3 linked regions of the Rattus norvegicus genome follow. The protein of the gene in region 1 interacts with the protein of each later gene in a pairwise test. Links are inferred from orthologs where the notes say so. Each region holds a gene or a part of one and is shown on either strand. Other genes may lie near its edges.

What was found.
Region 2: the proteins of Rgs2 (region 1) and Ddr1 interact in a two-hybrid assay, tested with the Homo sapiens proteins (2 studies listed by BioGRID and IntAct). The link is inferred for Rattus norvegicus from reciprocal best matches to the Homo sapiens genes RGS2 and DDR1.
Region 3: the proteins of Rgs2 (region 1) and Lrfn1 interact in a two-hybrid assay, tested with the Homo sapiens proteins (2 studies listed by BioGRID and IntAct). The link is inferred for Rattus norvegicus from reciprocal best matches to the Homo sapiens genes RGS2 and LRFN1.

Annotation. Positions count from the first base shown.
Region 1 is NC_086031.1:58,349,691-58,354,185, forward strand, and holds Rgs2 (regulator of G-protein signaling 2), read right to left. Parts: upstream 2,977-4,495; coding exon 2,867-2,976; intron 1,838-2,866; coding exon 1,736-1,837; intron 1,627-1,735; coding exon 1,565-1,626; intron 1,028-1,564; coding exon 861-1,027; intron 617-860; coding exon 422-616; 3' UTR 373-421; downstream 1-372. UniProt on the Homo sapiens protein: Regulates G protein-coupled receptor signaling cascades. Inhibits signal transduction by increasing the GTPase activity of G protein alpha subunits, thereby driving them into their inactive GDP-bound form.
Region 2 is NC_086038.1:3,060,102-3,064,062, reverse strand, and holds part of Ddr1 (epithelial discoidin domain-containing receptor 1 precursor), read right to left. Parts: intron 3,664-3,961; coding exon 3,477-3,663; intron 3,400-3,476; coding exon 3,153-3,399; intron 2,204-3,152; coding exon 2,120-2,203; intron 2,029-2,119; coding exon 1,877-2,028; intron 503-1,876; coding exon 337-502; intron 1-336. UniProt on the Homo sapiens protein: Tyrosine kinase that functions as a cell surface receptor for fibrillar collagen and regulates cell attachment to the extracellular matrix, remodeling of the extracellular matrix, cell migration, differentiation, survival and cell proliferation.
Region 3 is NC_086019.1:92,886,852-92,889,641, reverse strand, and holds the end of Lrfn1 (leucine-rich repeat and fibronectin type III domain-containing protein 1 precursor), read right to left. Parts: intron 2,334-2,790; coding exon 1,439-2,333; 3' UTR 658-1,438; downstream 1-657. UniProt on the Homo sapiens protein: Promotes neurite outgrowth in hippocampal neurons. Involved in the regulation and maintenance of excitatory synapses. Induces the clustering of excitatory postsynaptic proteins, including DLG4, DLGAP1, GRIA1 and GRIN1.

The DNA.
Region 1 (4,495 bases):
ACTTAGTACTAAAATATTAAAACTAGAACTAAAACCACTACGTGGTAACATGGACTAGTTCAGGGAAAGGTGTACAGCCAGCTAGCTAAGGCCACATAATCCCAGACCTATTGATTTTAAATGCTCCAACAACATTCCATTGTATCTTTCATCTCACACCCTGCTTTCCTGACAGGGACGAGCCCATTCAGAACCCTGTTCCCTCCCTCTGTTCTTCACACAGCAAGGGAAACTTCTCACAGAGACTCTCCTAGGTTGCTGGCTTCCTGATTCACTACCCAACATTGAATCAATAGTTCTGAGCGATGTTTTCCTAACACTCAGGCTGAATTCAAGGTCAGTTTGTTTTTTTTTTCTGGCAGGTTACAGCCTTTGCTCTCGGGAGACAGAATGGAATGTCCTCGGTGGGGGTCTCCCTGTCTCATGTAGCATGGGGCTCCGTGGTGATCTGTGGCTTTTTACACAAGTCCTGATAAAATTCTGATTCCAAGAAACGAGGATAAGAGTTGTTCTCCATCAGGCTGTACACCCTCTTCTGCGCTGTGGTGAAGCAGCCACTTGTAGCCTCTTGGATATTTTGGGCAATCAGAGTTTTTGTTTGAAAGTCTATGTTTATCTGAAAGAACAAAAGAAAACTCCATTTATTTGCTATTCAATGGTACAGACCGATGCTTAATAATAAAACATGAAGGTATAGTTTGTGATCAGTTATAACTGTCAGTTTTGGGAGAAACTTAAATGTTAGGAGAGCTGGGGTGAGAGCCATACACGGCTCCTCTCCCGTGAGTATGAACGCAGTGTATTCAAGTCTCGTGTTTCCCTTCAGTATTGAAGACGATCTGAGGAACCTGCTTTCTTACCTCTTTGGGAGCTTCCTTCTCGATGAAGTCGGTGTATATTTTCCTTGCTTTTGAGGACAGTTTCTGTGGTGATTTGGTTTTCTTGAAGTCTTCGCAAGCCAACCAGAATTCAATATTTTCTTCACAGAACTCGGACTTTAAAAACGCTCTGAATGCAGCAAGCCCATCTGGAAGCACAAGGAGACGCGGTATGAAGAATATGAATGGAATGGCCGAATTACACACAGCTCTCCTAGTACAAAATGATCAGTTTCCTAGACTTCATTCAAGCCTGTCATTCTGGAAGTCTAGCTCTTTAAGCACTAAGATGCCAGTAAGCAAAACGCTTAAGTTTGTAGTCTGCAACAAAAAGTATACTTAACTTCCCTGTCAATGCCAAGACCAGTATTTACAGGACGACTCTAAGTCCACTAGGAACTAGGGCTTTTGAAAATATTCTATGTAATGGAAAAGCTGACTCAATCAGCTATGAGTAACTGGCATCTTAATTTTTAGGCTAATTTTTCTTCCCCACCTGAGTTGAATACCTCTTGCTTCCCTATGATTAAACTTAGTGATATAAGGGAAAGAGAAACAGGCTTTGTACTGTCGGTGGTGGTAATGTCTAATGCATTTCTTGCAAACTGCTCATTTTGTGGTGCGAAGGGAACATTTCTAGGCTTTTGAGATACCGGCAAGAGATCACATTCAAGAGGTTAACTTACATTTGCTGGCCAGCAGTTCATCAAATGCTTCTGCCCAGAGCAGCGCTTCCTCAGGAGAAGGCCTGCAAGAGAAGTTCCACACATGAGCTTCACCACACATGACAGCTCCCCTTTCCTGTCCACTGGTTTGACCAGATACTCATCTCTGTAACTACAGGATTTGAAACTCACTTGATAAAAGTTTGCTGTTTGCTTTTCTTGCCAGTTTTGGGCTTCCCAGGAGTAGAGGAGTTTTGCAAGAAATAGCTCAAACGGGTCTTCCAATCTTTTAAGCTGGAAGAAAAAAGAAAGAAAGAAAATATACTTCAAGTAGCAATTCTTGAATGGTAAAATTATCATCAGTTGCAGTAGCTACAGACAAAGCAGACAATGAGTCTCATTCCCTTAGCATTTAAACCCAGCACCTCCTGGCTTTTCTCCATTAGTCTGACTATAATGAGCTTCACAAGCAGGATAGAACTAGGTAAGACCTAAGGCAGTTTACATTTTCACCAGCTATTTCTGACCTAATAAACAGATAGAGGTTTTTCTGTGTGGTTGACTACAACTTGCTGACATTTTGTGATTGAGAACAGCTGCTGTTTTTTCCCTTTCTGCACCGGAGGCAGGAGGGTCTGGACTATGCCAGAGACAATGCATAGGGGTGTGTGTGTGTGTGTGTGTGTGTGTGTGTGTGTGTGTGTGTGTGTGTGTTGGAGGGTCTGGACTATGCCAGAGACAATGCATAGGTGTGTGTGTGTGTGTGTGTGTGTGTTGGATTCCCTAGCTCCCTTCTCAGGCCGCCCACAGTGCTTCTCTGCAGCAGATACTGCAGAGCGAATTACTCATTCCATAGTCGTGACTGGGTGAGACCTACTTTATGATTTAAAAACGGATCGCATACATTGAGAATCAATTCAAACATCCCCACCCAGCAGCTATGCAAGCAGCTCAGAACTAACAATGCAACGACTAGGCGCCGGTGGACTTCATTCCGCTGCAGGAGTCTGATGCTACATTAAATGCAGAACAAAAAAAAAAAAAAAAAAAAAAAAAGCCAACCAGCGCCTTCTCAGCCCATCTACCGCCACCTTCTTCGACCATTTCCTACAGTTCTTAAACTCTCTGAGCTCACATAGAAAAAGCACATACCACCAGATCTAGCAAGCTAACTTTTTCTCTCCCCCACAAGCCCCCAACTCTCCCACACTTTCTTTGCAGAGGCGCAGTCTAGAGTATTCCTAGCCGAGATCGAGAGAAGGTCGGTCCCTAGCAGCAAAGCCAGGCAGGGTAGGAACTCTTAGGAAGAGAGGGCATACTCACAGTGTCCGCTTCATTTTCTCCCGCTTCTCCTCGACCTTGGGGCCGTTGCCTGCGCTCTTGTCCATGGGTACGCAGTCGTGCTGGACAGCCAGGAACATGGCACTTTGCATTCTCAGACACCCGCGGCCACCGCAGCTGTTTGCCGCCCGGAGCGCGGCGCGAGCTTTTAAGGCGGGCGGCGGCGCAGGGGCGGGACTTGGAGGCGTCGGCCACACCTCTAGAGGGCGCGGATTGGCCCACTGCAGACGGCACGAGGGCGGGGTCACGCGGGCCTGCGGCAGTCACGGCAGCCGCCGAAGGGTCTGGAAGTGAGGGCGCTGTTGACGTAGGCGCCGCATCCTCGTGCGCACACAGGGTGGGAGGTGGCGGGCGGGGACAGAGAGCGATCGCTGTTAGGCAGCTCAGGCGGCCACAGCCGTGAAGGGTCCTGAATTTGTGGCTTTTTCTTGAGTGAAGACCGTAGTGTGTGTGTGTGCGCGCGCGCGCGCGTGTGGTTTGTGGTGTGTGCCCCCCACCTTTGCAACTTGTCTTTTGTTCATCCGGACACCTATAAACTGAAGCCGGGATGGGGAGAGTCCTGCTGACTGCACTCGGCCACTCCACCTGTTTTGGAGAAGGAAATCAACAACAAGAGAACCCTGAAACACAGGCTACTGAACTAGGTGCTGTGACTCTGTAGCTCTCTGAGGCACCTTGGATTTCCTTAAGGGAATACAGGCTGCTCAGGGAGGAAGCAGGAGAAAGTGTTTCTTAAAACCTGGTGTTTTAAATGGTTCTGCAGTCTTGATCTTTAAATGCATGGTTGCAGCAGGCTGTGACGTTGCAAGGTCGTTCCCCAGGAGACCCGATGGGCATCTCCCTGATGGGCATCTCCCTCCGGGCATAGCATAGATCTGAGTGATAAGTGAGAAATACAAAGGGAAACCCAAGATTCCCAGTTCGGCTGCACCCGGATCATTTGTAGTTTCAGGGTGTAAGGAATCAGGATTTCCTCATGAGTCATTCTCAGTTGAACAGGCTTAGGATTTACCAGATGTTCAATTGCTTAAATTAAGGTTGGGGGCTAGAGCTAGATGTGAGAGCCCGTAGGTGTAATCTGTTTGGACAAGCTTCATTTGCGATATCCTCAGAATCAGGTCTTTGCTCCTGCAGGGTTTAATATGCCCTGATTTGTAAGAACCAATACGTGACTTCAACTACAAACTGATTCAGCTTCCTATGTTACCAGAATGATGCGGTGCAATACCTAAGTGGTTTTCCCATAAAGTCTCAACAGATAGACTAACAAAAAGGTACAGCTTAGGCTCCAGTTATTCTGTTTCATACTAGACCCACTAAAAGGAAAATGAAGACCCTCAAACTGGGATCCAAGCAACACATTGTTACAAGCTGTGCATGGTTGAGCTCCAGGTTTGAGTCAGAAACTAAAGTCTGCAGTCGCTAATGAAGAAAATTGCTACAGCCTTTATTATAGAAGGAATATCATTTTGATTTTAGTAACAAATACTTGAAAGCACGCTTATGAATGGCTAAGATGGGATTTTTAATAAGCCCAACAGAACTGCACTGTTCCTACATTTGTTTCAATGTCTGACGATTTAATACATATTTATTAAGCATGCAAAATGG
Region 2 (3,961 bases), on another chromosome or scaffold:
TCTGACTGCCGGACAGACAAATGAGTTTATGAATATAGATGGATGGCATGGCGATGGGTGGTTAAGTGAGTGGATGGATGGACAGATGGACAGATAAATGTGGAGGGTAGGGAGACAAGGAGAGGGGCACAACAGAAGTCTACCACACAGTGACAGGATGGGCCCACTGGCATTGTAGGTAACAGACAGGAAAGCCTTGGGGGAGACTTTATGGAGATGGATAGAAATGAGAAAAATGAGTCAGAACTGGTATAGACAGTACAGGAGAAGGAGGGCTACGGTAAGGATACAGGCAGAAGACAAGACATGGTGGCACTGGAACAAGGCAGGCCTTACCAGAGCCATTGGGGACGCAGGGCGCAGAGTGAGTTGGAGTCCCCCGAGGCCGGGGTTCCTGGTAAGGGGGTGGCTCTCGGGGCCCTGGGCGGTTGTTGATGAGGATGGTGTCCCCAGGGACAGAGAGGTGAACCGTCAGCTCCTCCTCCAACACCCGGCGCTCTGCCTAATTATGGGATTAGACAATTTTGCCTGAGCCACTGCTTAGCATGGCTTCCTGAGTTGCTCTGTTCTCCACTCACGGCAGCCTAACAGCTGTAGCTCCTATGGCCCCACTTCCCTGAGGTCACACCACAGGACCCAACCCAAATCTGACGAGACCCTAATTATCAGCCACAATGGACACGTGGAAGTCCAGGGCATACGGAGAGCGAGCGACCCGATTATTGTCTCCTTCGCTCCCCTACTCTTCGGCTTTTGCTCCCCACAGGCTGGTTGGGCTTGATTAGAGAATGGCAGGGGAGGAAGACAGCGCTGGCTGAGGGACAGAATGTGAGGTGAGGATCTGTCCTCAGGGCTCTTCCCTGAGGGAGGGCTGCCCTGCTGCCTGCTACATCCTGTACCAGAAGGCCCTGCCTCTTTCAAGGGACCAAGTAGGGACTCTCTGGCTCTTGCTCCTCCCTAGCTCTGGTAACAGCCAAGTCCTCTCACCCAATGAGGCCCACAGAGGTGGGAGCCAACTCACATGGTATTACTGACACACTCATGCCCACTCTTGAGAATGGTCTGTTTCTGAGATTAGTCCACACCCTACAGATCCTACTGGCCCCTGATTCTGCATGAGAGCACATACACGCATACACCTACACTCAAATACACTCAAACACATACACTCATACATACAACACACACATATGTTCACACACACCTACACACTCATACACTCAAAAATACAACACTCACCCACATTCACACACACACACATCCAAACACACACACTCATACACTCAAACATAAAACACTCACCCACATTCACTCACACACACATCCAAACAAATATACTCATACATACAACACTCATCCACATTCACACACACTTGTATACACACATGTACACATACACAAATGCACACACAAAAACACTGCACTTACATACACACATGCACACACTCACACATGCACTCAATATGCATGCATACATACTCATATATTCAATACTCACACACATTCTCACACACTCACATACATACGACACACATGCACTCTCACACTTGTACACAGTCATACACACACTCATGCACATGCACACACACACACTTACTCATACACACACTGCCCTGCCCACTTTGCTGAGCAGCCACTCACATATACTTTCACACTCGTGTACAGTCTTATACACACTCAAACACATGCACACATGTACATGCACACACTCACACACATGCACTTTCACACTTGTATACACAGTCCTACACAACTCACACAATGCGCACACACATGCACATAAACATACACTGACACATGTCACTCCCATGTACACACATGTGTGCACACTCACACACACACACACACACACACACACACACACATCCCTGCTCACCTTGCTGAGCAGCCGGCGCCAGTGCAGCCTCCAGAGCATCAGGGCAATGATAAGGAGGAGGAGAAGGATGATGGCCACCAGGCAGCCAATGAGGATGGCAGTTGGGCTCCCCTCCGCCTTGGCCACAGGCTGTTGACCCCGGGGCTCCAGCTCTGATAGAAGAGAAAGGTCAGCACCACAGCGGGGTGGCCTACCCCACCGGAGGGGAAGACCCAGGAGGAGCTGAGGTCAAAGACTGCTCACCCAAGCTGCTGAAGTTGGTGGGAGGCGGGCCAGGCGGCCACCAGGGGGCTGGTGGGAAGGTGTCAGACGAGTCGTTCACCACATCTGGGGAGAAGGAAGAAAAGTCAAGAGGGAGTGAGGACCAGAGGGGACACAGCTGTGTGAGACCTGGCGAACTAAGGAGGGCAGGTGGTTAGTGATTACCCAGAGCAACCTCACAGGTACCGCATCTGGGGAGTCCCTGGCCAACCGGAAGTGGATAAATTGGGGCGGGGCCCCGCAGGCTTAGAAAAGAGGCTGTTCCTCATCTAGGCAGAACAGAAGTCTTTCAGGCTTAAACAGACTTCCCTCACTCAGGATGAATCGGGAATGGGGGAACTTATACAGGAAACACAGAGAGATTTGGTGAAAAGGGACCGTACACGCCAATAATCCTAATGGCTTAGGAGGCTGAGGCACAGGAAATCGTTGAAATTTATTTTAGGCTGGCCCAAGTTAGGTAACAGAATCGTTTTTAAATTTTATTTTTTAAAGATTTACTTATTATATATAAGTACACTGTAGCTGTCTTCAGACACACCAGAAGAGGGCATCAAATCTTATTACGGATGGTTGTGGTTGCTGGGATTTGAACTCAAGACTTCTGGAAGAGCAGTCGGTGCTCTTGATCACTGAGCCATTTCTCCAGCCCCATTTTTAAATTTTAAATTATATTTAAGAATAATCTGCCTGGATGTGGTGGCGCATGCTTTTAATCCCAGCACTTGAAGGCAGAGGCAGGCCTAATTCTGTGAGTTACAGGGCAGCCAGGACCGTAAAGTGAGACCTTGTCTCAAAAACAGAATAAAATAAAAAAGTCTGTAAAACACCAAAAACAAACAAACAAAAAACCCAAAACAAAACAAAACAAAGACTCTACAAAAGAACCGGGGTCTGATTATTCCACCTTAGTTTGAGAATCTCGGGGGTGACAGAATATCAGGACGCCACAGGATTAACTGTCTGATGACAGGGAAACCTAAGGGGCTAAGGCTGGCACACACTGGGGGCTTACCCGAGATGAAAGAGATCTCACTGAAGAGTAACCAGGGTCCTGCAAAGAGGAATCTGCACTGCAGGAAGCGGCCCACGTGACCACCCAGGGGCACCGAGATGGCCCTGGCTCTGGGGTCTCCAAGGCTACCCCCCAGGGCATGGCGTACAGGCTCTCCTTCCCAGGCCATGGCCGGACCCCTTTTAAACCGGCATTCCACCCCGCCTGGGAGGCGGGCTCCCAGAGTGTGCATGTTGTTACAGTGGACCTGAGGTTAAGAGGAAAACACTGAGTCAAGGCCAGGAAAACCCAAGAGCTCCCTCCCAGAGAACGGAGCTCACTCACCTGCATGGTCTGGAAAGACCTCAGCCGGTCAAACTCAAACTCCATCTCCACGTAGCCGCTGGGGAAGCTATGGTTGCTCCATCCCACATAGTCATAGCCTGGCCAAACCCGCAGCTCCTGGCTCTGCCTGAAATCATCCAGCCCCACCACGCCGTCTGCCAGTTGGCCCAGACCACCGTACTGCAGCCTGAACGGAGGGAAGGGGAAGGGAACGTTGAGGGAAGATGGTAGGGACCACCCGTGTTTTCTGCGCGCGCGCGCGCGCGCGCGCGCACACACACACACACACACACACACACACACACACACACACACACACCCAGTAGCGGCCTGGAAGCCCGATTCTCACTGACTCTTCCTTCCCAGCCCACCCCAGTGCCATGCAAGGTTCTCCTCCCTGTGCACTATAGCCCAAACTACCACAGGAGACTCTGTGGGTTGCACACGGTTGAAGTGCCATCACTAAGGTGCACGGTTTGGTCTGC
Region 3 (2,790 bases), on another chromosome or scaffold:
CTCACACATAAAGATGAGTGCAGCAGCACAGGGGTGTATACGCCACACCCACATACTAAATCAGTAAGAAAACACTGCATGGAGAATTGCTTTTTGTTGTTTTCAGATATACTTACCATGTAGCCCTAGCTTATCTAGAACTCATTCTGTAGACTAGGCTGGCCTCAAGATCAGAGATCATAAGACATCCCCCAGTCTCTGCCTTCTGAGTTTTGGGCTTAAAGGCAAGAGCCACTATGCCCAGCTGGAATCAATATTAAATAAACGAATCTTAATTTTCCACCCTCTGGTTATGCCAGGACATGTTATCTATTCCACCTGTTCTCAGCGTTCTCATCTCTAAAATGGGCTAACAGTGTGATGTCCTAAGATAATTTTAAAGATTGGATGGTTTAAAGGTTACCCACATACTAGCCACCTGTCACTATCATTTTTGTTTCTCCCCACCTCCGAGTCTGCCTTCCAGTCTCCTCATGCCCACTGTCATGTCCTCTTCAGTCTGATTCAGAATCCTCCTACCCCCAAAACACGCGCGCGCGCGCACACACACACGCACACACACGCGCGCACACACACACGCACACACACGCGCGCACACACACACACGCACACACACGCGCGCACACACACACACACACACACGTCAGCAGAGCCGCCTCAGACACAGAAAAAAGTTTAATTCTGCTGCGGCGGAGGGTCCCGGCTCCGGAGTGGGATTTGGTTTTTGTTTGTGTGGGGAATTCATTGTGGGGATAAGGAAGATAGAAGAGTCTGGTCCTTCAGTGGGACCTGCCCGGAAGATGGTGAGGACAGGGAATCGGGAGAGACACGGACACTGGACAAAACAAAAAACAAACAAACAAACAAAAAACCAAAAACAAGGGAGGGCAGAGGGAGAAGAGACGACAATGGGACAGAAAAAAGGGAGACAAGTAGGGAAGGACTTAAAACAGACGACAGAGGGCAGGAAAGACTAGGACATAGAGAGAAAAAAGAAGCCCCTCCCTCCAAACCAGACTGGTGGGACCAGGGATGGGGCTGGGTGAGGGGACGGGAGGCTTTGGAGGCCGCCGCGGGGCAGAAGAGATCTAGTCCAGCCAGATACAAGGAATGGGCCCCTCGCCCCTGCCCCAGGGTCCCGGGTAGGGTAGGGGACTCGTGTCTCAGTGCTGCAGTGTGGGGGGGCCCCGCCCCTCCCCGCGCTTCGCTGTGTAAGGCACCGGCTCCGGCGAGGTCCGCGAGCGCGCGGGGGACAGGGCAGAGGGGTGGAGTCGGAGAGGCCGGCGGCCTTCCTCCAATCCGGAGGCTGGTGGGCGTGGCCTTGACTGCGGTAGGCCCCGCCCCTCGCGCGTCCCTTCTCTCCAGCCTCCCCCGCATCCGGCCGGGCTGGGCAACTAAGTGCGGCCCACAGGCGTCCCGGTGCCCGTGCGCCCGCCGCTCACACCGTACTCTCCAGCATCCATTCGGTGCTGGTGAAGGCCAGGCGTGCCCGGGCGGAGCCCAGCCCCAGGTCTCCGTCCTCCCCGGCCGCGCCCCCTCCAGCCCCGTCCAGGTGGGGCGTGGACCGGTGGCGCTTTGTCCGCCGGGCGCGGCGCGGGTAACTGTGACTCTGGAACAGCGCCCCGTAGTCCCCATCAAAGGAATAGCGTTGTTGTGGCCTCGGCCGGGCCGGGGATCCCCCACGAACCAGAGCTAGCGTTGGGGGTGCTGAAGTTGGAGGCCCCAAGGCCCCCGAACGGCTCCTTCGAGGGCCGGTTACGGCCCTAGATTCCTCCCCTGAAGTTTCCTCGGAGGGCAGCAAGCACAGAGAGGTGGCCGAGCCACCCAGAGAGCGTCCAAGCACCACCTCTAGCTCAGTGGAAGTCGCCTCGGCCTCCATGGCCTTTGCCTCGATGGCTGCAGGGACAGCCACCTCCCGCAGCGCCTCGTAGCGGTCTGGAGCTGGTGGGGCGGAGGCTTGCTGTGCACTTGAACCATTGGTCTGAGAGCACACGTGGCTGACCCGAGGGGGCGATCTGGACGTCCCCTTGATGCGGCGGCTGTCCCCATCGCCATACACTTTGTAGCGAATCATGAGCAGAACGATGAAAACGAGGACCGAGGCTACGATGACGCCCCCGATGGCGATGATCATGGTGCCGCCCAAGAAGTGGGCCCTCAGCGGGCGGCATGGTGCAGGATCTCCCGCGGTGGTGAATTGCACACAGCCCACCACTCTGGTGGCCGGCAGAGCGGTGGCCCCATCGTCGTAGACTGCCAACACACACAAATCATAGGCGCGGCCAGCCGCCAAATCATTCACCAGGAAGGTCTGGCTGGTAGAAGGGATCATCCTGTGGAAAGGGGTGCGATCAGGACGCAGTTAGTCCCATTCTTAACCATGTCCCTTCACTTTGCGCCCTAACGGTGGGAAACCGTGCTACTAATGTCTACGCAGACTACAGGATCCAGTCAAGTCTCTCCTCCAACAATTTATTGCCAGCCTTTCATCACTGCTCCAGACCACACCCCCTCATCTATATGCCCCGCCTCCAGAACCTCCAGCCTTTAGCATCACCTACTGGGACTATCTCTGCTCTACCTTGGACAACTGCCACTCAAGCTCCATCGCCTGTACTTAGCTACAACAGTTTAAGGAGATCAATGCTATAGCCACTCCTCCTTCCAGATGGACACTGGAGTCAACAATGGTGGACTTGTAATTCCCGGTCTTCATCCAGTGTCCACTTCCTGAATGCTGGAATTTCAGGCTTATAGACATGTACAGACATATTGGTTTGTTTGGTTTTG